Linked DNA regions of Tamandua tetradactyla. The protein of the gene in region 4 interacts with the protein of the main gene of each other region in a biochemical or structural test. Links are inferred from orthologs where the notes say so. Each region holds a gene or a part of one and is shown on either strand. Other genes may lie near its edges.

What was found.
Region 1: of the proteins of MAVS (region 4) and TRIM31, one has a biochemical effect on the other in vitro, tested with the Homo sapiens proteins (2 studies listed by BioGRID). The link is inferred for Tamandua tetradactyla from reciprocal best matches to the Homo sapiens genes MAVS and TRIM31.
Region 2: the proteins of MAVS (region 4) and MAP1LC3A form a complex in vitro, tested with the Homo sapiens proteins (2 studies listed by BioGRID and IntAct, with this or other methods). The link is inferred for Tamandua tetradactyla from reciprocal best matches to the Homo sapiens genes MAVS and MAP1LC3A.
Region 3: the proteins of MAVS (region 4) and IRF3 form a complex in vitro, tested with the Homo sapiens proteins (2 studies listed by BioGRID). The link is inferred for Tamandua tetradactyla from reciprocal best matches to the Homo sapiens genes MAVS and IRF3.

What each region holds. Positions count from the first base shown.
Region 1 is NC_135331.1:84,619,403-84,627,281, forward strand, and holds the start of TRIM31 (E3 ubiquitin-protein ligase TRIM31), read right to left. Parts: upstream 3,008-7,879; 5' UTR 1,269-3,007; intron 1-1,268.
Region 2 is NC_135327.1:18,193,073-18,199,448, forward strand, and holds MAP1LC3A (microtubule-associated protein 1 light chain 3 alpha), read right to left. Parts: upstream 2,259-6,376; 5' UTR 1,939-2,258; coding exon 1,899-1,938; intron 1,597-1,898; coding exon 1,541-1,596; intron 1,448-1,540; coding exon 1,341-1,447; intron 1,107-1,340; coding exon 944-1,106; 3' UTR 930-943; intron 683-929; 3' UTR 515-682; downstream 1-514. UniProt on the Homo sapiens protein: Ubiquitin-like modifier involved in formation of autophagosomal vacuoles (autophagosomes). While LC3s are involved in elongation of the phagophore membrane, the GABARAP/GATE-16 subfamily is essential for a later stage in autophagosome maturation.
Region 3 is NC_135342.1:11,485,432-11,492,510, reverse strand, and holds the start of IRF3 (interferon regulatory factor 3), read right to left. Parts: upstream 3,013-7,079; 5' UTR 2,597-3,012; coding exon of another isoform or gene 2,505-2,596; exon of another isoform or gene 2,488-2,504; intron 2,413-2,487; coding exon of another isoform or gene 2,326-2,412; intron 1,605-2,325; coding exon of another isoform or gene 1,462-1,604; intron 1,248-1,461; coding exon of another isoform or gene 1,133-1,247; exon of another isoform or gene 1,072-1,132; intron 755-1,071; coding exon of another isoform or gene 709-754; exon of another isoform or gene 438-708; intron 401-437; exon of another isoform or gene 296-400; 5' UTR 181-295; intron 1-180. Other genes in the region: BCL2L12 (bcl-2-like protein 12), read left to right, coding at 709-754, 1,133-1,247, 1,462-1,604, 2,326-2,412, 2,505-2,596, 3,387-3,668, 5,140-5,190.
Region 4 is NC_135327.1:56,981,084-56,988,886, forward strand, and holds the start of MAVS (mitochondrial antiviral-signaling protein), read right to left. Parts: upstream 3,023-7,803; 5' UTR 2,942-3,022; intron 1-2,941.

The DNA.
Region 1 (7,879 bases), on a different chromosome or scaffold from region 4:
ATCCCCAACCTCAGTAGTTATGCTATTTGTGCAATAAATGGCATTTTAAAAATTGGCAAGAAACACAAATACGGTTGCAGCAGAGAGTCTCAACACACCCCTATCAGGCAGTACTTTTTTTTATCGGGAAGTATTGTGCCCAGAACCCGGCACAGAGCTCTTAGCTGTTATGTGGTTGTAAATTCCTCACTCTGGGAGCCATGTTTTTATAAAGAAACCCACAGACTGGACTGCCTGAGAAGAGGGCAACTAGGATAGTGGGCAGCTTTGAAATCCTGTTTCAGGAGACACAGACAAGCCAGCACAAAATTGGGTGAGCCTGGCCCCGAGGAGATGGAGAGTACAGGAGAGCGGCCCTCTGAATGTTAGGTTTGTGGTGGGGTCTCTTCCCCTTCTATGATCTTGACACTTCAGTGTGGGTCGACCCTGAGGTTGCTGCAGAGCCCATTTTCATTTCACCCCAGATCTGAATTTCCACCTCCTTACAAGGGCTCTCCCTGCACCTTAAAACCTCCTTGGTGAACGCAGCCCTGATCATTCCTTTCCTTCCTGGGTTCCAAATTCTCTCTAGCCAAAGCCTGGTCCTGTTGCAAGGTCAGCTCTCAACTGAAATCAGAGCTTCTGCTAAGTCAGCAGGGTGGAAGGCTGATCTGTCCTCACCACCGATGGATGCGGAAGCAGTGGGATGCACACCCAGAGGCAGCCTATGAATGGGGTCCATTCTGAAGGCAAATTCTAGAAAAACTTTCCCGTAAGGACTGTGGGAATGAAGGTCCTTACCTATGACCATGTTTTTCCATCTTGATGTCCTCAGCACTTACCACAGCAGCCAGCATAAAATTGGGACTCAATTTCTGTTGCCATTTTAGAGAGGCTGTATGCTGATGGGACAAAAACCTTTAGGCTATATTGTTAAGTGAACAATGCAAGGCACAGAACGGTGTACTAAGCATGCAAAATATTGCTTAATAACAAGGTGAAATACAAAAATACTTATCTGCATGAATGTTGAAAGGATACACAGGAAACTTATAAAAGTGTTTTTTACCTGTGGGGAGGGATATAGGCGTGGCAGCAGATGGGTTGAATAAGTAACATTTTATACCTTAATTTTTGAACCAAGTGAACATATAACCCTTTAAAAATGATTTATTTAAAATTAAATTATGTATTTATTTTGGCTACAGCATTTTGTCATGGTAACAAGCAGAACTGGAAAGCTGGAAGTTCACCCCTCCATTTCTCTTTGTGGTCACATAGTCTCTCACCTTTATTTCTTCCCAGGTTCACAGCAGACCAACAAGGTATACTTGAATCTCTATGGCATTTCAACTCCAGCACCCGGCACCCTTTTTCAGTCTAGAATTTTCTTTCGTTTTTGTTTTCCAATCTGCCACGCCACTTATCAAAATTTCTCTGCAAAATTTTCAAGCTTGGCTTGTATCCCCTTGGACATAGTATATACATATAGTCGTTCAGTCTGTGACTGGTAAGTCACAGCTTGGCCGTCCTTCTGGGTGTGATTCTGATATCTGTGGTTTCTGCTTTTCTCCTGATGTCTTGTCTGTCTGGTGCCCTACTATCTTCGTGTCTGAGATATATCTGCATGAGTACTTACAGGAAAAACTTGAGGCCCAGGATAACTTCCCCCCACAAAGGATTTTCCTTTGTTTTTGGCACAGGCAGTCCAGAGTCACTTTAAACAAGCTCAAAGTTTGAGATATTGGGCCTGGGATCCTACTTCTAGTTCCCTTAGGCTGCCAAAAATGCAGCTTGCTCAGCTTCCTCTTTTGGGTCAGCAAACGCACCTGGAAAAGAAGCAATCTCAGGTTTCAGGCTTGCCTCTATAGGTCCCCTACTTTTACTACAATTCCTCACTAGGCCATTGGAGTTTTGAGAAAGACATTTTAAAAATATTTTATCCAGTTTTTAAAGGTGCATTCACTTGGAGGGCCAGTCTGAGTTGCTCAGCCCTTTAATGGAAGCGGAAACCCTTCTGTTCCAGGCCTCCAGTTTTCAGGGGTTTGTCCTTCTCTGGACCTCAGCTTTCAGAAAAAAAAACACACACACTTTTTTTCTTTAGTAGTAAAGTCTCCATGGACTGTTCTCACACACAGACATTGGCCCCTTTCCTCCCAAATTAGGGCTGGAATAGAATCTCACCTCTTAAACACCTAATATACCACAGGAGCCGGAATCAGAACAGTCCTCCTTTCCAGGTATAAACAGAAAAAAGCCGACATGTGTGTGCATTCACGCCAGAGCCTCTTAAGTGCAGGCAAAAGCTGCAGCTTGGAGAATTCTAGCTTCAGTGTCAACACCAGCCTAAGGAGCTGCTCTCTAGCATAAAGGCCCCTCATAGGTCTCAGTTTGCAGACCAGGATGTGACAAGGAGATTGGAGCTGCAGCCAGCTCTAAAGGCAGAAAGAGGAGCCAAACAGAAAATATTCAGAGGTGCTGAATGATGCATTAAAAACCTGTAGGTCAGCTAAAGTCTCCATGGAGCCCTCTCTTAAAGAAGGCTTTTTCATTCCATTGGTTTTGGGTAACTGTTCCCAGGGCTTTTCCTAAATGGATTGGTATGGGGTGGCTTCAAAGACCGAAGATCCTCAGGGGAAACGTTTCGGGGCGGGTTTTCTCAGGCTGCTCTGTTGTAGGAATTCAGGTATCAATCTTTTCAGGGTCACTTACAGTACTTGCTTTTGGTGACTACTGTCAGGGACCTTTGGGGGTCCTCCTTTCAAGATAGGGCCTCGGCTTCCTCATCTGTAGAATGGAGCAGGAGAAAGACGCGGGTGAGCGGCAAGGCACAGGCGCCCCCGACTTGACGCTCGCAGGGCCAGGAAACGCCAGGAGGAGGCGGCGCAGAGACAGGCTGGTGGCGGAGGAGGGCGGTCCGGCTCAGCTTGCAGGCCCAGCTAGGGCGACCAGGTCAGTGCTCCGAGAGGCAGGGCGTGCTATCTCCCCCGCAGCGGCTGGGCGGGGAATGGGACAGTTCTAGCGGTTGGGGAACGTTGGGAGGTTGAAGCAAGAGCGACGGGAAGAGCGCGCTCAAGGAGGCGCCGGGCATGCGCGCCCGCCCCAAAGAGAGGCAGTTTTTAAAAGCCATATTTAAAAAGCAACCTTTTTGGGTGAATCCTAGCTTATATTGCTCCACTTTCGGTAGGGATGTATTTTTGTCTCAAAGCACATATTTGATCACGAATGCCAAAAAAAAAAAAAAAAAAAAAAAAAAGCTGGGGAGGTCCGGCTGGAAGCACCCTAGGGCCCGGATGCCTGTCTGTGCAGGCTTTGCGCAGACCACGGTGTTCAAACCTCGCCGCCGCTGCAGAGAAAAACACAGCCTGCGCCCACGGCAGCCCAGCCTCGGCGCCTTGTTAAGAAACCGTTTGAAGCCGATCTCTAGGAGGGGTTTGGACTTTCAGCAGAGGCTAGACAGGTCGTTGGGCTTGGCTGGCTGGGGCAGGAACTCGGCTTCTCACCTGTCACTCCACCCTCTGAGTCTTGCCAGTCACCCTACCGGGCAACTTGTTCCCCCTGTCAACTCTCACTTAGGGCTTTCTGATAGAAACTGAGCCCCATCTGTGGACCTGTCTGCACTGCGCTCCCATTGCCTGAAAAGTCAGGGTGGGGGCGTTGATTCGTGCAACATGGATGAGAAATTTTGAAATAGTTCAGTGTGCTTATATGGTTCATTTTTCTTCATCAGTTGATTATCAGAATATCTAAGAACCTAGTCATTACTTATATTTAAAATTTATAAAAGGTTCCAGGTCTGTGGTGCATGAAGCTTATAGGTTTTGGGGACCTCTTCAAGAAAAAAAGGATACAAAATTAGAAACATAAATTTAAGAGCCAAAGTAAATATTTATTCAGAATGAGAAAAATAATGACAACAAATTACACATTTTTAAAAGCTGAGGAATAACACAAACATAAAAAAATCCAGAAAAATATTTTAATTAACTGTCAACCATTTCTATATTTTTCCAACATACTTAGAATTATATTTTTTGACTGCCTCTTCATTTGTAATGTGTTTTCTCTGGTGAGAATAAATAATTTGGTTTTTCCTCCAACGTGGCTAATCAAAATTTATTTTTTATTATTTAAAATAATTTCAGTTTCACAACTCAGTATTCATAATAACATCAATTTGGGGGGAAACCTCTGTCAAGAGTTTCTTATGTGAGCTCTAAGATTTCAGAACATTTCAAGATTCCTCGGGTTGTGACTAGCCTTAAATTGTCTTTAAATTGCTGAAGGACTTTAAGCTGTTTCTTGTTAAGTCCTTGTATAATAAAATACAGAGGTCCCACATACCACCCTAGTATTAATGCCTTGCATTAGTGTGGTACATTTGTCACAATTCATGAAAAGAACATTTTCGATTCACTTTTTGATGTCAGGATGATTTCTAGTGATTTCATATAGAAATATGCAAAAACAACTTTATTGTATGACGTAAATATGCAAAAACAACTTTATTGTATGATGTTTATATAATTAAATAGGTTGCAATGTTAAATTTATTCCTGAAGAAAACTTTCATTTTGACTAACCATTGATGAGAACAATTGTACACTTAAAATTTTCTGCATCTGAGGGTTGGATGGATTTACTGGTTCCATGATTCACAGACTCATGGTGTGTCATGCCACAAGACATGTACTTTTTAAAAAATATTTTTAATTGTAAACAACAAACAAACATTCTTGACATACAGACATTCTTGACATGATTACAATCAATGGCTCATAGTATCATCACATAGTTGTGTATTCTTCACGATGATCAGTTTTTTGAACATTTGCATCTCTCTAGCAAAAGAAAGAAAAAAGAAAAAACTCATACATGCCATACTACTTACCACTCCCTCTCATTGACCGCTAGTATTTCAATCTATTCAATTTATTTTAACCTTTGTTCCCCCTATTATTTGTTTATTTCTCATCCATATTTTTTACTCATCTATCCACACCATAGATAAAAGGGGCATCAGACATAAGGTTTACACAATCACACAGTCACTTTGCAAAAGCTGTATCATTATACAATCATCTTTAAGAAACATGGCTACTAGAACACAGTTCTACAGTTTCAGGTATGTCCTGCTAGCCACTCTAATATACCATACACTAAAATGAGATATCTGAATAATTAGTAAGAATAATGTACAGGATAAACTCTCAACTGTTTGAAATCTCTCAGCCACTGACAATTTATTTTGTCTCATTTCTCTCTTCCCCCTTTTGGTTGAGAAGTTTTCTTGATCCCTTGACACTGAGTCCCAGCTCATCCTAGGATTTCTGTCCCACATTGCCAGGGAGGTTAACACCCCTGGGAGTCACGTCCCATGTAGAGAGGGGGAGGGCAGTGAGTTTGCTTGCCATGTTGGCTTAGAGAGAGGCCGCATTTGAGCAACAAAAGAGATTCTCTGGGGTAACTCTTAGGCATGAATTTAAGTAGGCTTAGCCTATCCTTTGTTTTTTGTTTTTTTTTTATTTTTAAATTTTTTTTAAAATACCAAAAAACGCCAAACACAAACATTCGTAACTTTTGATCATTCCATTCTACATATATAATCAGTAATTCACAATAGTTGCATATTCATCATCATGATCATTTCTTGGAAAATTAGCATCTATTCAGAAAAAGAAATAAAGAAAACAGAAAAAAATTCATACATATCATACCCCCACCCTTGCCATCAACAATCACCAGCACTTGACTCTAAATTTATTTTAACATTTGTTCCCCCATTATTCATCTTTGTTCCATATGTTTTACTCATCTGTTGATAAGGTAGATAAAAGGAGCATCAGACACAAGGTTTTCGCAATCACACAGTCACATTGTGAAAGCTATATCATTATTCAATCATCTTCAAGAAACATGGCTACTGGAACACAGCTCTACATTTTCAGGCACTTCCCTCCAGCCTCTCCATTACGTCTTGACTAACAAGGTGATATCTATTTAATGCGTAAGAATAACCTCCAGGATAATAGCCTATCCTACGTAGGGATAAGTTTCATGGGGCAAACCTCAAGATTGACGGCTCAGCCTATTGATTTGGTTGTCCCCACTGCTTGCGAGAATATCAGGAAGTCTCCAAATGGGGAAGTTGAATTTTCCGCCTTTTCCCCCAGTCCTCCAAAGGGACTTTGCAAATATGTCTTTATTCACTGTGGAAATCACTCTGGGATTTATCGGGGCATCACACTAACCTGGGCAAACCAACAAAATCTCATGCCCTATTCAAGGTTCCATGGTGTTCAATTAAACTATCCATATAAGTTAAATTAGGAAATGCACTGGTCAAAATTTAAATTTGGCACCAAATAAACATTTCTTGCTTTAGTTTCACACAGAAGTTGAAGTTTTAAAATATGAATGACCATCTATTTTCAACACTCTGCAATATTGACATTCCTCTGTTCTTCCTCATGCAAAAGCATTTTTTAATTTGTACCCTTTAGTCACTATCATTGTGCACTCTAAACATTCCTAGTTTATATCATCTCAGTCTTAATTGTCTGTCTTTCCTTCTGATTTCATATGTGTCCCCAGCCCTTCTCCCTGTATCCTTCTCACACTCAGCTTCATTCAGTGTACTTACGTTATTGACAAGACACGTTCTTATCACATGTGCTCTGGACCCGTACTTTAGTCTCTTATGCCAGTGTCTTGTCTCAGTGGGTGGTGGAAGTTTTCCTGGAAGCCATTCTCTTCGGCGACAGCTAGCAATAAACTAACTGTAGAAGGAAGTGACTGTGCACTGTGTAATGTACCTGAATAATGTAAGTCCAATTCCGTTTCTCTTTAGCCAGGTGCCCAAAATGCCACTTGACCCAACGAGAAGGGTGACAGACAGATTGAAGTAGAAAAAGACAGTAATATTAGCTGTGTCTAAAATATATTTGTTTTGATTTGTGTAAAGATATAATGTTTACAATATGACTATGTGATTGTGAAAACCTTGTGTCTGATATTCCTTTTATCCAGGAGTGTAAAAGGATGAGTAAAAAAATATGGATAAAAAATAAACAAATAATAGGGGTAACAAAGGTTAAAATAAATTGAGTAGAGGGTGGTATGACAGTGGCTCAGTGGCAGAACTCTTATCTGCCTTGCCAGAGACCCGGGTTTGATTCCTGGTGCCTGCCCATGTGAAAAAAAAAAAAAAAGAAAAAAGAAATGGAGTAGATTGAAATACTAATGGTCAATGAGAGGAGGGGTAAGGTGTATGGTATGTATGAGTTTTTCTTTTTATTTCTTTTTCTGGAGTGATGTAAATGTTCTGAGAAACAAGATCGCGATGAATAAACAATTATGTGATGATATTGTGAGGCATTGATTGTACACCATGTATGGAATATATGTGAGTGAAGATTTCTCAATAAAAATATTTTAAAAATATATATTAATTTTGCAAATTGCGCAAAATATTATGACCATGTGAACACGTTGGCAAACCCCTCTTCAGGCCTCAGTTAAGGTTGATGCAAGGGAGCTGCTGCATGGTAGTTCAACCTCTGCCCACCCCGCTATTACAGCAAGATTGTCACTGACGTCTTTTCTCTGCTGGGCTCCCACATCAGGCCGACACTCACTCTCAGCCTCACCTTATGTCCCTCTGCATTTGATGGCTCCTTTTGACTCTTCTCCATGTCTCAGCAGTTTGGAATTGGAAGCTTATAAATTCCCCTCCTTACAAGGAAGTGGCTAATTGTGTAGCCCTATCTTTGTTGAGGTGGGTGTGTCCAACCAGGTAATGACAGCAAACCAGTTACTCATACACGTTCCAATCCCAAGGTAGCTCCATTCCTTTCAACCAGGTCCTTTACCAATCAGAGTATTCCATACAGGTCCATCT
Region 2 (6,376 bases), about 39 Mb from region 4:
TTGTGCTTAAGTAGGCCTGGCTGGGCACAGGGCTGTATGGACTTCAGGGAGTAGAAGGGCAGGAGCAAGACCAAGCCCTCAGGCAGGTGGGATTTGAATCCAGGGTCACAGGTTCCTGGTATCGGAGGGGGATCATGTCTGGCAACCAGGCCTGTGCGGAAGAACCAGGAGAATTCCACTTGGACCCCTACTTTGTGGCTTCACCCACCATTGTGCCCCCACCCAGGCAGGAAAGGGGGAAGAAGTAGGTAGGAAAGGCCTGGTAGGTTGTGGCTACTCAATAAATGCTTTTTTTTTCTTTTTGTTAAGATGATGTCTGTCCTGGGACCACAGTCCCTACTGGAAGAGGTGGGCTGGCCACAGTTATTGCCCTGGTATACTATACTGATTTATGAGTGTCCATAATAAACCCTAAGGCCACAGAATACAAGTGTGAGTCCTGGCAGGCTGAGCATGGTACAGGACATTCCCATCAACCTTCCCTACCCCCTAAGCAAGCAGCCGGAGGCAGAGGGCCAGGCAGGCCTGAGCAATCTTTATTCTGCAGAGGGACAGTGACCACAGATCCATATACCATGCCAAGGTCGGGAGAACCAGGGGCCAGTCCTGCAGGGGTGGGCAGATCCAGGCAGGGGGCAGCACCTTGGGTAGCTGAAGGGCAAATGGGCAGACAGGCAGGGGCCTAAAAAACAAAAAGAAACAAAAAAATAGACAAACCACACAGCAGGGGTGCTGGAGCCAGCACTGAAGAGGGAACCCTAAAGGGACTGGTGCAGGATCCACGCAGGGGCAGAGTTAGGTGACTGCCCCCCCCCCCCCCCCCCCCCCCCGCAACTGGGGTCCACATCCCTGCCCAGCCCACCAGAGGCAGCTTAGTTCAGGAGTGGCAGACCCTGACTGGTTCCCACTCCCAGGCCAGCCCCCCCCACCCCCTGCTGCTGGCTCAGAAGCCGAAGGTTTCTTGGGAGGCGTAGACCATGTAGAGAAAGCCATCCTCATCTTTCTCCTGCTCATAGATGTCTGCGATGGGCGTGGACACGCTCACCATGCTGTGCTGGTTTACCAGTAGGAAGAAGGCCTGCGTAGGGTTCAGCTGCAGGCGGCGCCTGAGGCAGGAAGGTGAATGTGAGGGGCATGCAGGTAGTCCCTGGCCCCTTCCCCAGAATCGCTCGCAGCCTCTTCTAAGAGGTTCTCTCATGAGGCAGCACTGACCCCTAGACCTTGACCTTCCCCAGCCTCCCAGAACAGGGGTCCCACTTTTGCCTCTTCGAGAGGGAATTTGGGCTTCTGTTTAACCCCAGCCAGACCCAGGTTCCCCTCCCGGGCAGTTGCCCGCGCACCGGATGATCTTGACTAGCTCGCTCATGTTGACATGGTCGGGGACCAGGAACTTTGTCTTGTCCAGGACGGGCAGCTGCTTCTCACCCTTGTAGCGTTCTATGATCACCTGCGAGTAGGGTGGGCAGGAGAGTGGGAACATGTGAGCCTGAGGGCCAAAGGCGGGCCAGGGACGGGGTAGGAAGGGGGCAGGGGTACTCACTGGGATCTTGCTAGGGTGCTGATCGCGTATCTGCTGCACCTCCTTACAGCGGTCCGCTGCAGAAGAAGAGCAGGACTTGAGGCGGGGCAGAGGTGCTGCCGGCGGCTCCGCCCTTGAGGGGCGGCCCCACCTCACCAGCCAAAGCCCCCACTCCCCGGGGCTATTGAGCCCTGCAGCCCTTGGCACCAGATGGGGTGGGGAAGCAGGGAGACCCCCTGCCCAAGCCGGACCCTGCCCGTGGGGCCAGCTGGAACCTGATGTCACAGGGCTGACGTCACCAGCGGCAGGCCAGGGCAGTCCGCGTCCCCTACCCCTGCGCCCCCCATCCCACGCTTACAAATCACCAGCCCGACCTCACCGAAGCTCCGCCGCTGCTTGAAAGGCCGGTCGGAGGGCATCGCGCGGGCCTGGCGGGGCGCGCAGGCCAAGGCTCTGGGCGCGCGGTGCGGGGATGTGAGTGCGGCTTAGGGGCGCCGCGCCTCACGCTGAAGGGCTCTCGGGCTCGCGCTGAACCCAGCGGCGGAGGCTTAGGGAGGTAACTCGCTCGGTGACGTCAGGTCACAACATTCCTTAAAGGGGAGGCCGGCGAGCTGCTCCCATTGGGCCGACGCAAAACCCGCCCGTTCCGTCTCGTGGCGTCACGGCGCAGAGAGCCTGGATTCCCGGCACAGAGACGCGGCGTGGGGGTGGGGGCGAGGGCGCGCTCCCATGGTGCGTCACAGGCACGACGTCATGGCGTGCGCGGGCATTTACCCAAGGCCCTTTTCGGAGACCGAAAGAAGGGGAGATGGTGGTGGGTACTTGACCCACCTTGGGCTGTGACGTTCTGGAAGGTTGAGAGAGCGCGCGGGTTCACCGAGTCATTCGACCAACGTGTACTAGGGTCTCGCCTGTTAGGGAACTGCTGGATGCTAGGGATGACATCAAGGAACCCAAGTCCTCACCTTCGTGGTCTTAATGGTTAGAGGAAAGCAGAGGGGGGGAGGGACATTAAAGCATACGGAAAGTACAAGACACCAAAAAGACTCTAAAGGACATTCTAGAATTGAAAAATAGTCAGTGGAAGGGGTAAGAAAGGTTAGAGCAGAAGAGAAAGTCGCCAAACTGGAAATACATCAGAAGCAATTACATGAAGAAACAGGTAGAAAATAAGAAGTGACATGAGTGATAGAGTGATAAAGACTCACAGATCCAATCAGAATAAGGAGACAAGACAATGTGAGAAGTGCCGGTAGAGCTCCCGAAATTCAGGATCATCACAGAAAATCCAAAGCAGGATAAATAAAAATAAAATCAGTAGCTAAGCACTTTGCAGTAAACCTGCAGAACTCTAAAGATGAACTCTTAAAAACTATTAAAAAGGCTAGATTACCTGAAAAATAAAACTAGACTGACACACTTCTCAGCAGCATTTATAGAAGCCAGAAGAAAATGTAATAGTATCTTCAAACTGCTGAGTGCAAAAATACTATCAGCCAGTAGTTAATTCATGATTAAAAGGTCAGGGACAAAATAATGTTGAGAGCGTTTACAGAAAACACTATTGCTAAAATAAACTGTAAAGGATGTACTTCAGTTACAAGACCATGTAATTCAAGAGGAAGAAATTAGTTGGGGGGGGAAAAATGGTGAGCAAATAAACTGGTGAATGTGTAGGTAGATCTAAAACACATAATATTGAACAGTAATGGCAATAATTGGCTTGGGGGTACCAAAACAAGCTGTATGAGACACAGCAGCATGTAAGACAGAGTATAATTAGAGTTACACTTGCCTGGCTTTGTGAAGTCACGTATGTATTTTAAACAATTAATAATAGTGACTAAAGAATAGAAGGGGAATGTATTATTGACAATGCAGAAAAGAGAAAAAGGGTAGTAAAGGGTACCTAAAATTATAATAGACAAAGAAAACAAATGAAAAAAAGTAAAAAGGGATGGTAAATTAAAAGCCCAAAACCACAGGTAGAAATGTCTTAAATTCACCTTTTTTTTTTTTTTTTTAAAAAAAAGATCAATTTGGCCAAGACAAATAAAATTCTATTCTGTGCTGTTTCAAGAAGGCCCTTAAAGACACCACAACTAAAAAGATGTACAGAGAAAAACTAACCAGAAGATGTAGTCATAGCAAAATCAGACAAAATAGACTTTAAGGCAAAAAAGCAGTATTAGGGATAAAAGAGGGTCACCACAAAACAATGAGCAGAACAGTTCTCTAAGAAGAGAATTCTGAACTTATATATTCCTGGTTAAAATATATATGAAGCAAAAGTGACAGAACAACAAGGAGAAATTGGTAAAATCCTTCCTCATACTGGAAGGTATTCAACAGACCTCTCTCAATAACTGATAAACAAAGCAACCAAAACAGGATTTTAACACAATAATCCTGCTCGGTGGACCTCCGTAGAATCCTGAAGCCAACAAGTTACTTTCAAACATACATGGAGGAAAAAAACATACATGGAACATCTACAAAAAATAACCCAACCTCTAGGCACCAATGTAAAAAAAAAAAAAAGACAGCAAATTTCATACAGACCATATTTTATGACCACAGAGAAGAGCCAAGAAAGCCCCAAATGTTGGAAATTTAAATATGCTTGTAACCCTTTAAAAATGAAATCATATAAAAATTTAAAATATTTAGAACCAACAAAAAATGAGGCTACATATAAAAACTTGGGGGGGGGCTAAAGCAGCACGTAGGAGGTAAGCAATAAGCCTAAGGAATTTAGAAAATGAGCACTTTTAAGGACATTTTAAAAGGAGCAACAGTATAAACTCAATATAAACTCAAAGTGGAAGGGATATCATACTAAAGAGTAGAAATTAATGAATGAAAAATATATACTAGTATGGATCAATGCATCAAATCTGGGTCTTTTAAAAGACCAATAAAACAGTGTGCAAAGAGGCCCAAGTCAGCAGAAATTACAAAAATACCATAAACAACTTTATGCCAATAATTTAAACCTTAGATTAAATGGGCAATTTCCTAGAAAAATATAGTTTGTCAAAACTAAATGAGATCTGAACTTCTTGGAATTAAGGACACTACAATGTCCAGCACATAGTAGAAGCTGAATGGAAATTTCATACCAATGAAAAATTTAATTTAAATAAAGTATGAGTTCATATATATGTATGTGGATGTGGATCTGCATATGTATGTGCGTATGGGTTATCCAAAATAAATGGAAAGAGACTCCCACTATTTTATTTGCTTTTTAAGGAAATCATATCTCTAGAAAGGTAGAGGGCTTCAAGACTCGTGAGTAGGAAATTATACGTATTTATATATACATAAAAATTTTGTGGCTTTTCAATTAGACAAGAAAAAGAAATACAAGGCATCAAAATTGGAAAGGAAGAAGTAAAACTATCACTGTTTGCAGATGATATGATACTATACATCAAAAGCCCTGAAAAATCCACAGCAAAACTACTAGAGCTAATAAATGAGTACAGCAAAGTAGCAGGTTGCAAGATCAACATTCAAAAATCTGTAGTGTTTCTATACACTAGCAATGAACAAGCTGAGGGGGAAATCAAGAAACGAATTCCATTTACAATTGCAACTAAAAGATAAAATACCTAGGAATAAATTTAACTAAAGAGACAAGAGACCTATACAAAGAAAACTACAAAAAAAACTGTTAAAAGAAATCACAGAAGACCTAAATAGATGGAAGGGCATACCATGTTCATGGATAGGAAGACTAAATATAGTTAAGATGTCAATCCTACCTAAATTGATTTACAGATTCAATGCAATACCAATCAAAATCCCAACAACTTATTTTTCAGAAATAGAAAAACCAATAAGCAAATTTATCTGGAAGGGCAGGATGCCCCAAATTGCTAAAAGTATCCTGAGGAAAAAAAATGAAGCTGGAGGTCTCACGCTGCCTGACTTTAAGGCATATTATGAAGCCACAGTGGTCAAAACAGCATGGTATTGGCATAAAGATAGATATATCGACCAATGGAATCGAATAGAGTGCTCAGATATAGACCCTCTCATCTATGGACATTTCATTTGATCTTTGATAAGGCAGTCAAGCCAACTCACCTGGGACAGAACAGTCTCTTCAATAAATGGTGCCTAGAGAACTGGATATCCATATGCAAAAGAATGAAAGAGGACCCATTTCTCACACCCTATACAAAAGTTAACTCAAAATGGATCAAAGATCTAAACATTAGGTCTAAGACCATAAAACAGTTAGAGGAAAATGTAGGGAGATATCTTATGAATCTTACAATTGGAGGCAGTTTTATGGACCTTAAACCTAAAGCAAGCGCACTGAAAAAAGAAACAAATAAATGGGAGCTCCTCAAAATTAAACACTTTTGTGCATCAAAGAACTTCATCAAGAAAGTAGAAAGACAGCCTACACAATGGGAGACAATATTTGGAAATGACGTATCAGATAAAGTTCTAGTATCCAAAATTTATAAAGAGATTGTTCAACTCAACAACAAAAAGACAGCCAACCCAATTACAAAATGGGAAAAAGACTTGAACAGACACCTACCAGAAGAGGAAATACAAATGGCCAAAAAGCACATGAAGAGATGCTCAATGTCCCTGGCCATTAGAGAAATGCAAATCAAAACCACAATGAGATATCATCTCACACCCACCAGAATGGCCATTATCAACAAAACAGAAAATGACAAGTGCTGGAGAGGATGCGGAGAAAGAGGCACACTTATCCACTGTTGGTGGAAATGTCAAATGGTGCAACCGCTGTGGAAGGCAGTTTGGTGGTTCCTCAAAAAGCTGAATATAGAATTGCCATACGACCCAGCAATACCATTGCTAGGTATC
Region 3 (7,079 bases), on a different chromosome or scaffold from region 4:
CTGTCCCTTCCTCCTGCACCTAATGACCTAGGCCACTGCCTCCTGCAGCTTCTCCCGCAGTTTCCCAGCGTGGCCCTTTCTTGTCCCCAGAGTGCACACTCTCCCCATCGCCCCTTCCTCTAGCGCCTCCTCAGTCTGCGACCTCCCCAACACCCTCCCCAGCTCTTCCGCGTTACTCACCTCGGGACTCGCCTCTGTCTTCTGGGCTCCGGGATAGCTCTCCAACTCCAAGCGGCGCACCTGACTTCCCTCCAGCCGGACGTCAGAGCCGTGGGACTTTCTTTGCTACCGACGTCTTGGGATAAAACCCTTTATATAATTTGGGTATAATGATATGCACACCCTCCGGATCTTTTTAGGCAATCCGGTCACAGGCAAGGCATGCTGGGAATGCATATGCAAATAAGAGGGCAGCCGGCGCTCTGGCCCTGCCCTGTCTTGGTGCCGCCCACCCCGCCCAGTGCGCAGGCGTGGGAACGGTAACTTCGAAAGTTTGCCGAAGTTGCAGCGCGGGAGGCGGCGGAGGCGGGGTCGGGGATCAGGTGAGCCGAGCCCTGGCGAGCACCAGGGCGAGCAGGGAAGAGGAGGGGGTCGCGACCCCGAAGCGGGCAGCGCATCCCCGCCTCAACGACACCCAAACGTCCCAGGCCCCCAAACTCCAGCCTCAGCCAGATACGGAACTACACCTCCCAGCAGGCTACGCAGCAAATGAGCGCAGACCGAGGGGAATTTGGCACGAAGCCCTCAGGGATTGGTAATTCTCCGTCCTGGCTGGGCTTCGGTAGCTTGGCTTGGAATCCAGGGGTCGGAGCCCCCAGCCCCCTCCTCCCTGAGACTCAGGAGTCCAGGCCCCCGGTACCCTCCTCTTCCAGGATCCAGGAGTCTTGTCTCAGTGCCTCCTCAGCCCCCTTCTCCCTCTCAAATTCAGGAGTCCAGTCTCCCCAGTCTCCTCCTCCCTTAGACCCAGAAGTTCAGCCCCCAGCCCCTTCCTCTCCCAGGATCCAGGAACCGCAGTCCCCACTCCTCCCATGGGGACCCAGGAGGACGCGCCTCTGACCCTTCCTCCTTCAGGTGCCAAGCCTCCTCTTCCATGTGGACCCTGCGTTCCAGTGCCTGGCTTCCCATCTCACAGGTGCCCCTATGGCAGGCTCAGAGGAGTTGGGGCTCCGGGATGACACACTGAGGGTCCTAGCCGCCTTCCTTAAGCAGGGCGAGGTGTCTGGGTCCCCCGTTACAGCTGCACCCAGGTAAGAAGGGTTGTCCTCCTCCCCTCAAGGGTCCATCTTTGGGGTGGGTCCCTCTCTGACTCTTGCTTCTGGTCTCACTCTGTCTCCTTCCTTCCCTTCATACCTGGTTCTTTTCCCCCGTCCCTGGGGCTACAGGGAGAGGCCCTCAGTGGGAGGAAGAAGGGACTGCTTGCAGGAGGCCTCTGGGGTCACTCTCTGAGGTTCTCCTCTCCAGGAGTCCCACCCAGGAGCAGCCAGCCGACTTCCTGAGCCGCCTTCGCCGATGCCTTCCCTGCCCCCTAGGGCGAGGAGACGTTCCCCCTGACTCCCCTCGGCCTTGCTCCCTGCCCCTCCGCCCCTGCTACAGTTCAGGGCCTGGTAAGAGATTTCCCCAGATCACCTGTGAAACCAGCAGGGCCAAGAGCCTTGATTCCTGAAGCACAGATGAGATCAGGAACTAGTTCAAGACCTCAGTAAGCCTCACCATCCTGCCCTGCCCCAGGAAATCTCTATTTGGGCTGGCTGTGAGAGGCCTGTTGGTTCCTCTCTCTTTGTCATCTCTCTCCTTCCATCCATGCCTCCCTCTCCCCAGACTTTTCTAGTCACAAGTGCCCCCCAGTAGGGAAGGAGAAATGATTTTCAGTCATGCCACTCAGGTTTTGGGGTTGGAAGCTCAACCAAAAATCCTTTCCCTTCCTTGTACCTCCACTCTCCAAAGGCAAAACTAGGAGACTAGTTTAGACTTAAGCAAGAATGGAACAGGTTTCCTCTCATGTGAGTCTGGGAAGACTAGTAATGAGAAGATAAGCACTGAGATCACTGGGTGATGCACGAAGTGGGCCAGACCCAGGGCAGAAAGAGCAGAAAGAACACTATTAGTTTTTCTACCTTGGATGGGAACATCTCCAAGGTTCCGTTTAGCCCTCACATTCTAAGTCCAGATTGGGGGCATGAAGTAGAAAGAACCAGGGTGTGGGGGTCTTTTCAAGCTTGTTCACTGTACTTTGGTGTCCCCCCCCCCCCATTATAAAATGGAAATCATTGCCCCATGGTTGAGAGAAGGAAAGAATGTAGAAGTCACTGATTCCTTTCACCCCAGGCCCGGCTACTCCAGACTTCTATGCCCTGGTGGCCCAGCGGTTGGAACAGCTGGTCCAAGAGCAACTTAGATCCCCACCTAGCCCAGGTGAGGTGCAGAGGCACCGCGCGGGAGGTCGGGAGGTCGGGAGGTAGCAGGGTAGCCACAGTTCGCCCCCAGCAGAATTCTTTTGCCTCCAGAGTTACAGGGTCCCCCACTCACGGAGAAAGAAGCCCTGCTGCGGAGGCTGGTGGCCTTGCTGGAGGAGGAGGCTGAAGTCATCAACGAGAAGGTGATGGTCCATCTCTTCCGTTTCTCAAGGAGGATGGGAATTGGCGGTTGGCAAGGCATTGGGACGAGAAGCTAGATCTGCATTTTCATTGGCTGGTCAGAAGGGGAGTGGGTGGGACAAACCTTAGAGAAAGAGTTGAGTGACAGGAAGTATGGCCAGGGGAGTACTTTAGGCTACTGGCTGTCATTGGCTTAGAGGGGCGTGACCTGTATGTGAAGGGCGTGGCCGTCAGAGGCAAGATCTAGGCAGGAAATTGGGCTAAATTGGATATGTGAGAGGAGGTATCCTTAGGTGGGGGGAAGCGAGACTGTTTAAAATCTGAGGCTCGGATTGACTTCAGCGAGGTCATGGCTTAGAGTGGAACGGACTGCTGGAGGGGGCATGCCTTGCGGCCGAGCTCTCGAATCTGATAACTCCAGAGCTTGGGCAGAATACATGGCTTTACGACAATAGAATGGCAGAGGCCCAGGTTCTTATAGGCCTTAGTTAGGGTTCCGGGGCTCTGATTGGCTCGGCAGGACTAAGGGGGCGTGGCTGAGAGATAAACAGTCTAGAACTCCGCTGCTGTAGAGGTTGGTCCTGATTGGCTGTCGAAACCTAAGGCATGGCTTAGCGTCTGTTTCTAGACCCCGCCCCTGGAACTAATTTCTCTGAGCCCCTAGAACGTGCCTTATAATGAGTTGCTGTTATAGGTGGGGGCGGGGCTTAGAGTCAATTTCTAGGTCTCCTCAGGCCCCCGCGTGGGGGCGTGGCTGAGGTGGGCTCTGCCCCTTCTGTCCCCACCCCACAGCTGGCCTCGGACCCCGCCCTGCGCCGCAAACTGGCCCGCCTCTCCGCCGCCTCTTTCGCGCGCCTCGTGGAGCTCTTTTCCAGCCGCGGGAGCGGCCCGGGCCCCGCACATGCCTCGCAGCCGTGCCCCGGACCCCCTCCGCCCTCCCCGGAGCCCCTGGCGCGCCTGGCCCTGGCCCTGGAGCTGAGCCGGCGCGTGGCCCACCTGGGGGGCACCCTGGCGGGACTCAGCGTGGAGCACGTGCACAGCTTTGCGCCCTGGATCCAGGCCCACGGGGGCTGGGTGAGCCGTCGCAGCGCCTTCCGGGCCTCGCAGCACTCGACTGAGCTGTGTGTGTGGGGGGGGGCGGCTTCTCAGGCTCCCCTTCCAACTGGCAAGTGCCCCCCCCCATTGAAGCCCTCCGTTCCTCTTGTGCACCAGGCACAGGGGATCGGTGCAGAGGCTCTTCCTGTCTTAAATGGTTCTACCATGCCGATGACCCCCGTGAGCCCCGAAACTAACCACTGTCCCTCCTGGCGCCTCTACACGTCTGTAAAGTGGGGGGAGTGGTTGGATTAGGATGGGATACTTGGAGGGTGCTGGCTCCGCGGGGACATTTGGTGCCTGGCTGTCCCCCTGTGGCTGTCCGAGTGCCCTTCCCGGCTATTCCTCTGCCTCCCCTCTTTGCTAATTTACTCAGGGAGGCCCCCCTCACCTCCACTGGGATTCTCAGCCATCTCCCTGCCCTTCCACCCTCTCCCTTCCTTCTCCTGCTTTCCTTCATCCCACCGCATTCACACCTTCTAACAGACGCTCGTGTAGAGCTCACTTGTTTTGCATGTTTGCAGCAGCTACTTAGGATCAAGATTTTCTCCCTTGTCTGCCCGCTGCCAGCGCCCTCTAAGGGCTGGATTAGGGCCCATTGTTCTGGCCTTGCGACCTTGGCAGCCTTTAGCAACAGTCTTGTCCCCGAGCCCGTCTGCCGCCTGCCCAGTGCTCACGGTTTCCTTCGCGGACCCGCCCCGTAAATCACAGTGGGAGCAGTGAGAGGAGGCCGTGCGGGGCTCATGAAATGGAGCCATCATCGCGCAAACGGGCAGCAGCGGGCGAGTGTGGCTGGAGCAGGATGAGCGAGGCAGGGGGCGGGGGGATTTGGGCGGGGGGCGGGTGAGGAGTGTCCAGATCCTGCAGAGCCTAGTGGGCCTCGGCAAGGAGCGGGCCTCGGGAGGGCTCAGGGACGTGGGTTGCTGACTGTGGGAACCGGCGCCCTCTGGTGGCCGCGTGGGGAATGGACTCGGAGAGGGGGGGTCAAGGAGGTGGGGAGCCCTGGTGGGAGGTTGGAGGTGTCCACCTAGCCTTCGGGCGCCCTTTAGACCACCTAAGCGAGATGTTTAGGAGACAGTGGACATAAGTGTCTGGGACTCAGCGAAAATGCATTTATTTATAAAAAAATTTTTCTGAATAAGGATAATGGGTAAGCTGGGGTGAGCATTGGCGGTTGGGGGGCAGGTACTTAGGATAGTAGCTGAGCCATCCAGTTAATCTGCATGACAACTTTATGGGGTTCTGTTACCCTCATCTTACAACTGAGGGAAACTTCATCATTAAAACCCCAGACCTCTGGGTCTCCGTCCCCCCCCACCCCCCCCCACGGGTCTATGTCCCCTTCCCCACTTGTTCGTTGCTATCCCCTGTCTCTGACCTCACCGGGCCAGGGTGGATACCGCTGTGCTGAGGTCACCTTCCCTGATCACTGGGCTCTTTCCCCCTCCAGGAAGGTCTCCTGGCCATCTCCCCTGTGGACTTGAACTTACCCCTGGACTGAGATCATCCTCAGAAGCTTCTACAGAACTCGACCTCACGTCCCCGCCCTTCTCAGGTGCTGTGCCAGGAGTCCCCGCTGCACTCAGGACTGGGGGGATGGGGGCTGGGAGGGCCGCCTTTTCTATTTTTGCCAAAAAATATATATATATGTTTCTAAACTTTTTATATTAAAAATTTTTTTAAGTGTTTATTCTTTCACTTGAGAACTAAAGTGTCTCCTTCCCCAAGAAGTTAGGCTCAAGTATCACTGTGGTTTATTAATTGAGGAAAGAACCAAATCCTTCCTTGGAGAAAAATTTCTTCTCAGCAGCTACAAGAGTTGTCACCTGGACACACAGCATTCTTGATATCTGTAAAGATGATTCCAGCTCATTGCATTTTGTTCCCTGTTGGTACCATATGTTTATCCCAGCTAAACCAGTAGAGATAGTGTTGGGGTTTTTCCAGCTAGTCCTGGAAGAAGATCAACAACTTTCTTCAGGGAGTTTTCAGGGTACCTTCCTTTCCCCGTTTTTCTCCTCTCTTCCTGTTGCTCCTTCTGAACCTTTTTGGGGTTTCACACCTTTTTAGGGCTATTGATCCCTTCACAGAGTAACACTTCTAAAGGCAGGAAATGAAATGCACAGGGTTACAAAGGAAACCAATGGTACAGAAAAAGTTATCACTATTACCGTAAAAATTGATGTTGTAATAATAGGTGTGCTTCATGAGTGCATTAATCAGAAAGACCCAGTGTGTGTCTGATGACCTTGATTTTGAAGTAGTCATGACAATGATTGACATTTTGAAGGGTGTCATGCATCGAATGGTCTCCCCCTGTGCTGGTTTGAAAGGATGTATGCCCCCTAGAAAAGCCATGTTTTAATCAAAATCCCATTTCATAAAGGTAGAATAATCCCTATTCAATACTGTATGTTTGAAACTGCAATCAGATCATCTCCCTGGATGGTGTGATTTAATCAAGAGTAATTGTTAAGCTGGATTAGATGAAGACATGTCTCCACCCATTCGGGTTGGTCTTGATTAGTTTCTGGAGTCCTGTAAAAGAGGGAACATTTTGGAGAATGGGAGATTCAGAGAAAGCAGAGCAGAACAACATAGCCACGAGAGCTCATCACCAGCGACCTTTGGAGATGAAGAAGGAACATGCCTCCCAGGGAGCTTCATGAAACAGGAAGCCAGGAGAGAAAGCTAGCAGACGACCCTGTGTTTGCCATGTGCCCTTCCAGATGAGAGAGGAACCCTGACTGTGTTCGCCATGTGCCTTCTCACTTGAGAAAGAAACCCTGAACTTCATCGGCCTTCTTGAACCAAGGTATCCTTCTCTGGATGTCTTTGATTGGACATTTCTATAGACTTGTTTTAATTGGACATTTTCTTGACCTTAGAACTGCAAACTAGCAATTTATTAAATTCTCCTTTTTAAAAGCCATTCTGTTTCTGGTATATCGCATTCTGGCAGCTAGCAAACTAGAACAACCCCTAAAAAGATAATGTTGAAATTCTGATTCCTGATACCTGTGAACATGTTCTTATTTGAAAATGTCTCTACAGGTGTCATTAAGTCCAGATGAGGTCACACTGAATGAAAATGGGCCCTATCCCCATATGACTCATGTCCTTATTGGGAGCAAAGGGACAGGGAAGTCACCCATGTGAAGATGGAAGCAGAGACAAGAGAGGCAGCCACAAGCCAGGGGCCACCAGAGGTCACTGATGACCATCAGATGCTGGGAAGAGGCTTAGACCTGCCAACACCTTGATTTCAGGCTCCTGGCCTCCTCCACTACGGAAGCATGCATGGCTGTGTGTTTGTTTTTAATGCAATTTTATTGAGATACATTCACATACCCTATAATCATCCAAAGTCTACGATCAGTGGTTCAGAGT
Region 4 (7,803 bases):
AGAGTGTCAAGTCAGGAGGCCACAGCAGTAGATGGACGATAGGTGTTCTAGTTTGCTAGCTCCCAGAATGCAATACACCAAAATGGAAGTCTTTAAAAAGGGGAATTTAATAAGTTGCTAGTTTACAATTCTAAGGCCACAGAAATGACAAATTAAAGTAAGTCTATAGAAATGCCAGATGTAAGGCATCCAGGGAAAGACACCTTGGTTCAAGAGGACCATGATGTTTCAGGGTTTCTCTCAACTGGAAAAGCACATGGAGAACACAGCAATGTCTGCTAGCTTTCTCTCCAGGCTTCTTGTTTCATGAAGCTCTCCCAGGGGCATATATCTTCTTCATCTCCAAAGGTCTCTGGTTGCATGGGCTCTGGCACTCATCATTCTCATGACCCTGCTCTGTTGCTCTCCTGTCATTATCAAGCTTTTTCCAAAATGCTTCCTTTTTTAAAGGATTCCAGTAAACTAATCAAAACCCACCTGGAATGGGTGAGGCCACATCTCCCTCTAATGAAAGGTTAATACCCACAAGAGGTGAGTCACATCTCCTTGGAGATAACTAATCAAGTTTACAACTTAAATTATTGAATAGGGATGAAAGGAAAAGGGTGCTCCCACAAAATTGGTTTTGGATTAAATCATGGCTTTTCTAGGGCACACAAATCCTTTCAAACGAGCACATTTCACCCTCTGGACCCTAAAAAAGACATGTTCTTCCCATATACAAAATACATTCATCTCATAACAATATCAGAAAGCCTTAAAGCATTTCAGTAGCAATATAAATGCAATACAAAGTTAAAACTAGTACAAAGTCTCATCAAAGTCAGCTGCAGGTATGGTCTGTTCTAAGGTAAAACTCTCCTCTGGCTCTGGACCTGTAAAACTCAGAACAAGTTATTTGCTGCCAACATACAAAGGAAGGACAGTCATAGGATACACAGTCCCATTTCCACAGGGAGAAATTGGAAGGAACACAGAGGTCACCGGATCCAAGCAGTTTCGAAAACCTGTAGGGCAAAGTTCATTAGGTTTCAAGGTATGACAGTCATTTATCTTTAGGGCTTTAGAAAGTGGCAGTCCCACCCTTTCCAAGCGCCTACACAGTGGCTCGCCTCTCTGAGTGTTCCCACAAGACTGGATTAGGATTAAAGCATGGCTTTTCTAGGGTATACAAGTCCTTTCAAACCAGCACAATGAGTATGGCCAGGATGGTAGTCACGGTGGCAAGGGGTAGGTAGCTTCCTGATGTCTTTGGATGTTGGAGGTAAGGGAAAGAAAAGATTCGAGGATGACTCTTGGGTGCTGGGTGGGGTAATTGACCAAGGTAGAGAAGCCAGGGGAGAGGCAGCAGCACCGAGGGAACTTCGCAGCTCAGTTTTGAGCAAGTGTAGCATGAGATGTTATTGGATATCAGGAAGGGAAAGGGGTAGAGGGGAGGGCCAGTTTGGAGTAAAAACATGGGTGTCAGGCTTGGGTAAGACCTCCTGGAGACAGTGTTGCTGCACAGAGGACGTAAAAGCTGCTGAGGCAGTCAGCCCCTTGCCACATGAGAAATGGGGTAGTGGTCCTGTCTATATGTCCACAGCCTCACATTAGAAGACCTGCTTTGATAATCACCGTGTACTACATACGTTCTGATAGGGTGAGTGCTAGTGACAGGTCAAGGAAGCTCAGGGAGGTGGGGTACTGAGTAGGGCCTTCAGGAGACAAGCAAACTCTGTGGTGGGTAATGGACCCCTCTCTCCTTCCCTCCCTATGGCACCAGGTACCAGGAAGGAGTCAGATGAGGCTCTTCTGCTGCATCTCAACCTCATCTTTAAGGGCAAGTGGGGGAGAGCAATGTAACCCAAAAAGAAATGTTTATGTATCTTTATTGAGGGACTACTATAGAAAGGCACCTCCTAAGGTTCTTCCATTAACTCTCCCTGTGGTTCCAAGAGAGAGGAAGTGATGTCAGGTCCCACAGCGAGCCAGTGGAGGAGAATTTGAACTCGGATCTTGATGTTTCACAGCAGTACACCATATGCCTTGTTGGCACAGTGAGATCCACATGGCCCCCTGTATTCAAGCCCAGGAAGGGTCTGAGGCCACTTTGGTGGGGCAGGGAAGTCATTGGGTAGGTGTGCGCCTGGGAGGATACTCCACTCATTCTCTTCTCTTGAAAGTTTTTGGAAGAGGTTGAAGACATCTAAGGCAGCCACTGTTTGCAGTTCACAGACTGTCCTTCCAGATGTTTACGGGGCTTTCGCGGCATCCAAACAAAGAACGGTGTTTTTGTCTTATTCAGGGTTTTTCTGGAACCTCCTTCCCGATTCAAGAGAAAGGAAGTGGCCTTGCGTTCAGGGTGAGAAGCGGAGGGTTTTCAACCTGACCGATCCAGGGAGCATTCCAAGAAAAAAATAATCACCCACCCGGGAGGAAGGAGGCCTCAGATCCTTGGCCCGGGTCCCTGGGCCAGACCCAGGTCCGGGGAGGGAGGAGGGAGGGGAGGGTGTTTTTCCATGCAGTTATCACTGCCAGGAACTCCCGGACACAGGGGAAACTGTCAACCCTAGACCCCGAGGCGCGGCCGCCGCCTTCACGGGCTCGCGCGCTCGGGCTCGCGCTCGGCCTCGCCACGAGGTCACCCTGGGCCTGGGAACAGTAGGAGGAGTTAAGGCTGGGTGCCGCGTCGTCTTCCGGACCAAGCTCCCCTCTAGCCCGAGCCGCCGCCCCGCGCCGCCGCCCGCGGGTGAGTGCAGCACGTGGACCCCCATGATCCCCCCATGATCCCAAGCCCCATATGCCGCCGGACCCTTTCTCCCCGGAGCCGCCTTGCCCCGAAGCCCGCGCGTCCGGCGGACTACCACTCCCCCTCGGCTCCTGCCGCCGCGGCCCACCTCCACGAAAGGCCTCGGTGTCTCTGGGCCAAGAGACCGGGCGCCCTGGTCGGCGACCTTACCTCTGGAGGCCGGACCCGGCGACCTGCAGCTGCAGCCTCCAGCCGTGAAGTCTCGGGGCGGGGCTGACGGGCGCGGAGCCAGGGGCGGGGCCGCGCGCCCATTGGCGGCAGCGGGGGCGGGGCCGCGCGTCCGGCGTGGGGGCCTGTGGGACGGGGGCGGGGACTTGGCCTGCGGCGGCCGGGAGCCCGGCCGAGGGGCGCGGAGCCGCGTGCCTATTGGCCCGGAGGCGGACGGGGCCACGCGAGGGCCTGTGGGATGGGGGCTGGGACTTGGCCTGGGGTGAGAGGCGGGTTGCGTGGGGTGTCCGGGCTGGGTGCAGTTCCAGTTCCTGCTGGGGCAGTAAGTTATTTTCTTCCCTTGTACATCGCGAACAACTTCCAGGGGAAGTCTGCGGTCTCGCCAGAAGCGAGGCAGGCGGCGGGCCTCGGAGTCTCTGGGTGGTTTGGAGTTCCTAGCTCATATGCCCTGGGTGAAGCTCTCCCTCTTTCCACCGTGCTCTGAGGGGTGAGGGGCTTTAATCTCCTTGGTTCATGAGTCCCAAGTTTTGACACACAGGCGGCATTCAATAAACGGCAGCCCTGGAAAGCAGTCTGGTGGTTCCTCAGGAAGCTAAGTATAGAATTGCCATATGATCCAGTAATGCCATTACTAGGTATATATTCAGAGGACCTGAGGGCAAGAACTCAAATGGACATTTGCACACTGATGTTTATACCAGCATTATTTACAATTGCCAAGATATGGAAACAGTACAAATGTCCATCAACCGTGAGTGGTAAACCAAGCTGTGGTATATACATACGATGAAATAGTATGCAGCTGTGAGACAATAAATTTATGAAGCATGTAATAACGCAGATGAACCTTGAGGACATTATGCTGAGGGAAATTAGCCAGAAACAAAAAACAAATACTATATGGTCTCACAAATACAAACTAACATGAATGGGCAAACTTGGAGAATTGAAGTTAATAACATAGGCTATCAGGAGATTGAAATAGGGTAGAGAAGGGACATTTGGTGCTGAAGGAATACAGTTTGTGCAACAGGACTGATTGTAAAAATTCAGAAATGAATAGCACAATAGTACCTGATTGTAGTACGATAATGTTAGTAAACTGAAAGAAGCTGAATATGAGAATGATGGAGGGCTGGGGGCACATATGACACCGGAAGAAAAGATAGAACGTAAAGACTGAGAAGGTATAATTAAGGAATGCCTAGAGTGGACAATGATGGTGATTAACTATACAAATAAAAAAAAGTTTTTGGATGAGGGAAAACAAATGAACACCAATATTGCAGGCTGTTGAAAATAGAAGGTATATGGGAAAAAGTACAATCACTGCAAGCTAGGGTCTATGTCAACAGTGACATTGTAATATGCTTCCAGTGAATGTAACATAGGCCTTATGCCAAAACTAAATGTCAAGGGGAGGGTATGGGGGAGAGGTATGGATTATTTGTGGAAGAAAAGGAAATGTCTTTAGATAGATTACGGAGGTGAAGGCATGTCTATACACAGGCTGGATTGTATGATGTGTAAGTAAAACTGTTTAAAAATGAAAAAGATAAAAACTTTAAAAATAAATAAATGTTCAGGTGACACTCAGGGATCACGAAGGCCTGTGTGCGCAGTCAGGCGGTGTGCAGGCTGGGCGGGAGGCAGGGGTGGCCCAGTGGGTGGGTGTAGGGCAGAGGCCAAGCAGGTGGTGAGCCACACAGGAGGCCCCCTCCGCCAAAGGCTGTGGGGCACCCCACCCCCACCCCACCCCATGCTCTTCGCAGTCCACTGCTGGGTGGACGGCAGCAATGATTGAGCCTCCACTATTTCAGGGGCAGGTCTTAAGAGTGTAGGGCCCATGAAATACTCGCACAACAACCAGGTAGAGTAGGTTTATTCTTCCTCTTTTATAGAGAAATTAGAATATTTGGGAAAAAGTTTGGTAGTTTTTACTAAAGTTAAAATGTATGTCAACCCTGTGATTCACCAATCCACTCCTGGGTATATGTCCACCAAGAAACATGCACACCAGATAATGTTCACAGCAGTTTTTATTCATAACAGCCAAACTCAGGAAACAATCCACGTGTACACCAACAAGAGAGCAGACTGACAAATGGTAGTATATTCACATAATGGAATCATATAGACCACAATGAAAAACTGTTGATACTCAAACACGGATAACCCCACCACATGATGCACGACTGTTGAAGGCAAACTCAGATGAATATGTGCCACCTGTTACCACTCTCCTAAAGTTCAAAATCAGGCAAAACGAAAATCTACATAAATAGAAATCATTGCTAGTTATCTCTGGAGTGCTATTGTTCTGTTGGGAGCACAAAGGTGCTGTGCTTGTTTGAAGCTGTAACCCAGAAAAGGCAATGTTCTTTTAATCCATTCCTGTGGGTGCAGACCTATTGTGGGTGAGACCTTCTGGCTAGCTTATTTTAATTGAGTTGTGACCCAGTTCATTCAAGGTAGATCTTTTTTTTAGATTCACCCTTTATTCCTTAAATCTGCAAAATAAACTGTCTGCAAAGATGGTAAAATATACCAGAAATGTGTAAATTCAAATAGTTCTAATAAGTCTTTTGTTGAATTTTCCTGAGGAAATAATAGGATTTCTCTATTTAGCATTGCCATCTGTATAGGGTAAGCTCTTTAATCATAGAAAATTAAACATTAAGAAATTGTGTATGATTTTTCAGCCAAATAAACTGAAAGAACTTTCCACATACTTGTCACATTATATCTGTATTATTTAGCATAAGACTAATTTCTGGATTTCTCTGTATCAACTGCTGCATTTGTGGATTGGCCATAATTAACTGCCTCATCAGGTCAGGATTTGACAGTATGCTCTGGACAAAGGGATTTTCCATGATCTGAACCATCATTTCAGGGTTGGACATACGCTGCCACTGCATCTGGCTTTGTAGTTCAGAGAAGTTAGATGTATTCAAACCCAAGCTACTCAGACCTGCAAGCCTTCCAAGGCCACCTAAACCGAAAGGGTTACTAGGGGCAGAACCAGATGTGGAGCTACTATTAGGAGCAGATGATGTGGTAACATTGCTTCCAGTGGTGTTTGTTTGCTGAGCTGAATGAACCTGAGGCCTGTTTTGTGATTTGATGACAAGGTGAACAGTAAGTCCATCATGAATTCCATGCTGACTCAAAGTATCTTGATCTTTTAAAATTTTTCCAGCAAATATTAACACAAGTTGGTCAGTATGCGATTTGAAACACTTAGAGATTTCTTCCTTGAACTGGCTCGTTTAGGCTGCGGCCGCACTGGCGTCCATGGACCAAGGTGAGCGCAGCCCCCCCCCCCCCCCCCCCCCCCCCCCCCCCCCCCCCCCCCCCCCCCCCCCCCCCCCCGCTAGCGGCTTTGGGCGAGTCCTGCACGGCCGCGCGTGAGCTCCATCCTCTCTCCCTCTTGGCTGCGCGAGCGCGCCGCGTCCGCCCTCTCTCAAGGTAGATCTTAATCCTTTTACTGGACTCCTTTATGAGAGGATAAAGGACAGAAAAAGCTGAGAGAGCTTAGAGAAAAGCCCCAGGGGAGCCAAAAGGACCCACAGAGGAAGCCACTGGAACCAGAGCTGAAAGCAATGAAACCCGGGAGTGAAGGACCAGCAGATGCCGGCCTCGTACTATGCTATCTGACAGAGGAACCCCTGATCCCAGCAGCCTTTCCTCAGAGAAGGTATTATCCTGTTGATGCCTTAATTGGGACATGTTCATGGACTTAGTACTGTAAATTTGTAAATTAACAAATCCTTGTTGTAAAAGCCAACACAGTTCTGGTTTACTGCATTCTAGCACCTTTAGCAAACTGAAACAGGTGCCTTCTAAGGGGATGAAAATGTTTTATATCTTGATACGGGTGGTAGCTACCTGGGTTTGTGCATATGTAAAAAATGCATAAGCTGTACACTTAAGTTTGTTACATCCTCTGTACCACAATTTTTTAAAGAAAAAAAAAAAAAGAGGGGTTAAGAGATTTGGCAGAGATAACCTGCAAATGACTAAGTTCAGTCCCAGCTCCAAAGCCAGTGCTTCCAAACTCGATCACAGGAAGAGGCCCGATCGCTTTTCAGATGAGATTTTATTACTTTCCTCAGTAACTCTGGATATCTCACCACCTTTGGCAGCTGGGAAATGTTCTTAATATCAAGCCTGAACCCATCCAACTGTAAATAAAGCCATCTCTGCCTTGGTTGGTTAGCCAAGACGGGGTAAACTTTGGTTGGAAACTAAACCCCCACCCTGTAGCACACTCCAGTGGCCTCACATCTAATCCTCGCCAGAAAAGCACTGGAGTGTGCTACAGGCTTCCAAGAGCAGCTGCCAACCCTTCTACTGGACCTCAAGGGATATTAAAAAACCCAGCCTACTGTGGTCTAAGGGGTTTCGTGTCACCTGTTGGTAGCTTTTAAAAAATTTAGACAAAGGAAGGCACAACAGCATGTCTGTGGTATTCCTGCTGAAAATGTATAAAATGAAGCTAATTGTGAGGAGACATCAAACAAACCAAAAATGAGGGACATTGTAGTGCTGTGCTGTTTAATATAGTAGCCATTAGTCACATGCAGCTATTTTTATTACAATTAAATAAAATTTAAAATCAGTTCCTCAGCCCTGCTAGTCACATTTCACATACTATTTTGAGCAGATAGAGGCATTTCTATCGTCATGAAATGTACAGTTAAAAAAAAAGTTCAGCTGGACAGCACTGAGGTACAGAATAACTCTTCAAAAATGTCAAGGTCATGCAGTACAAGGAAAGCCTGGAGAACTTTTCCAGACCAAAGGAGAGTAAAAAGACATGCGACTCAATGCAACGTGGG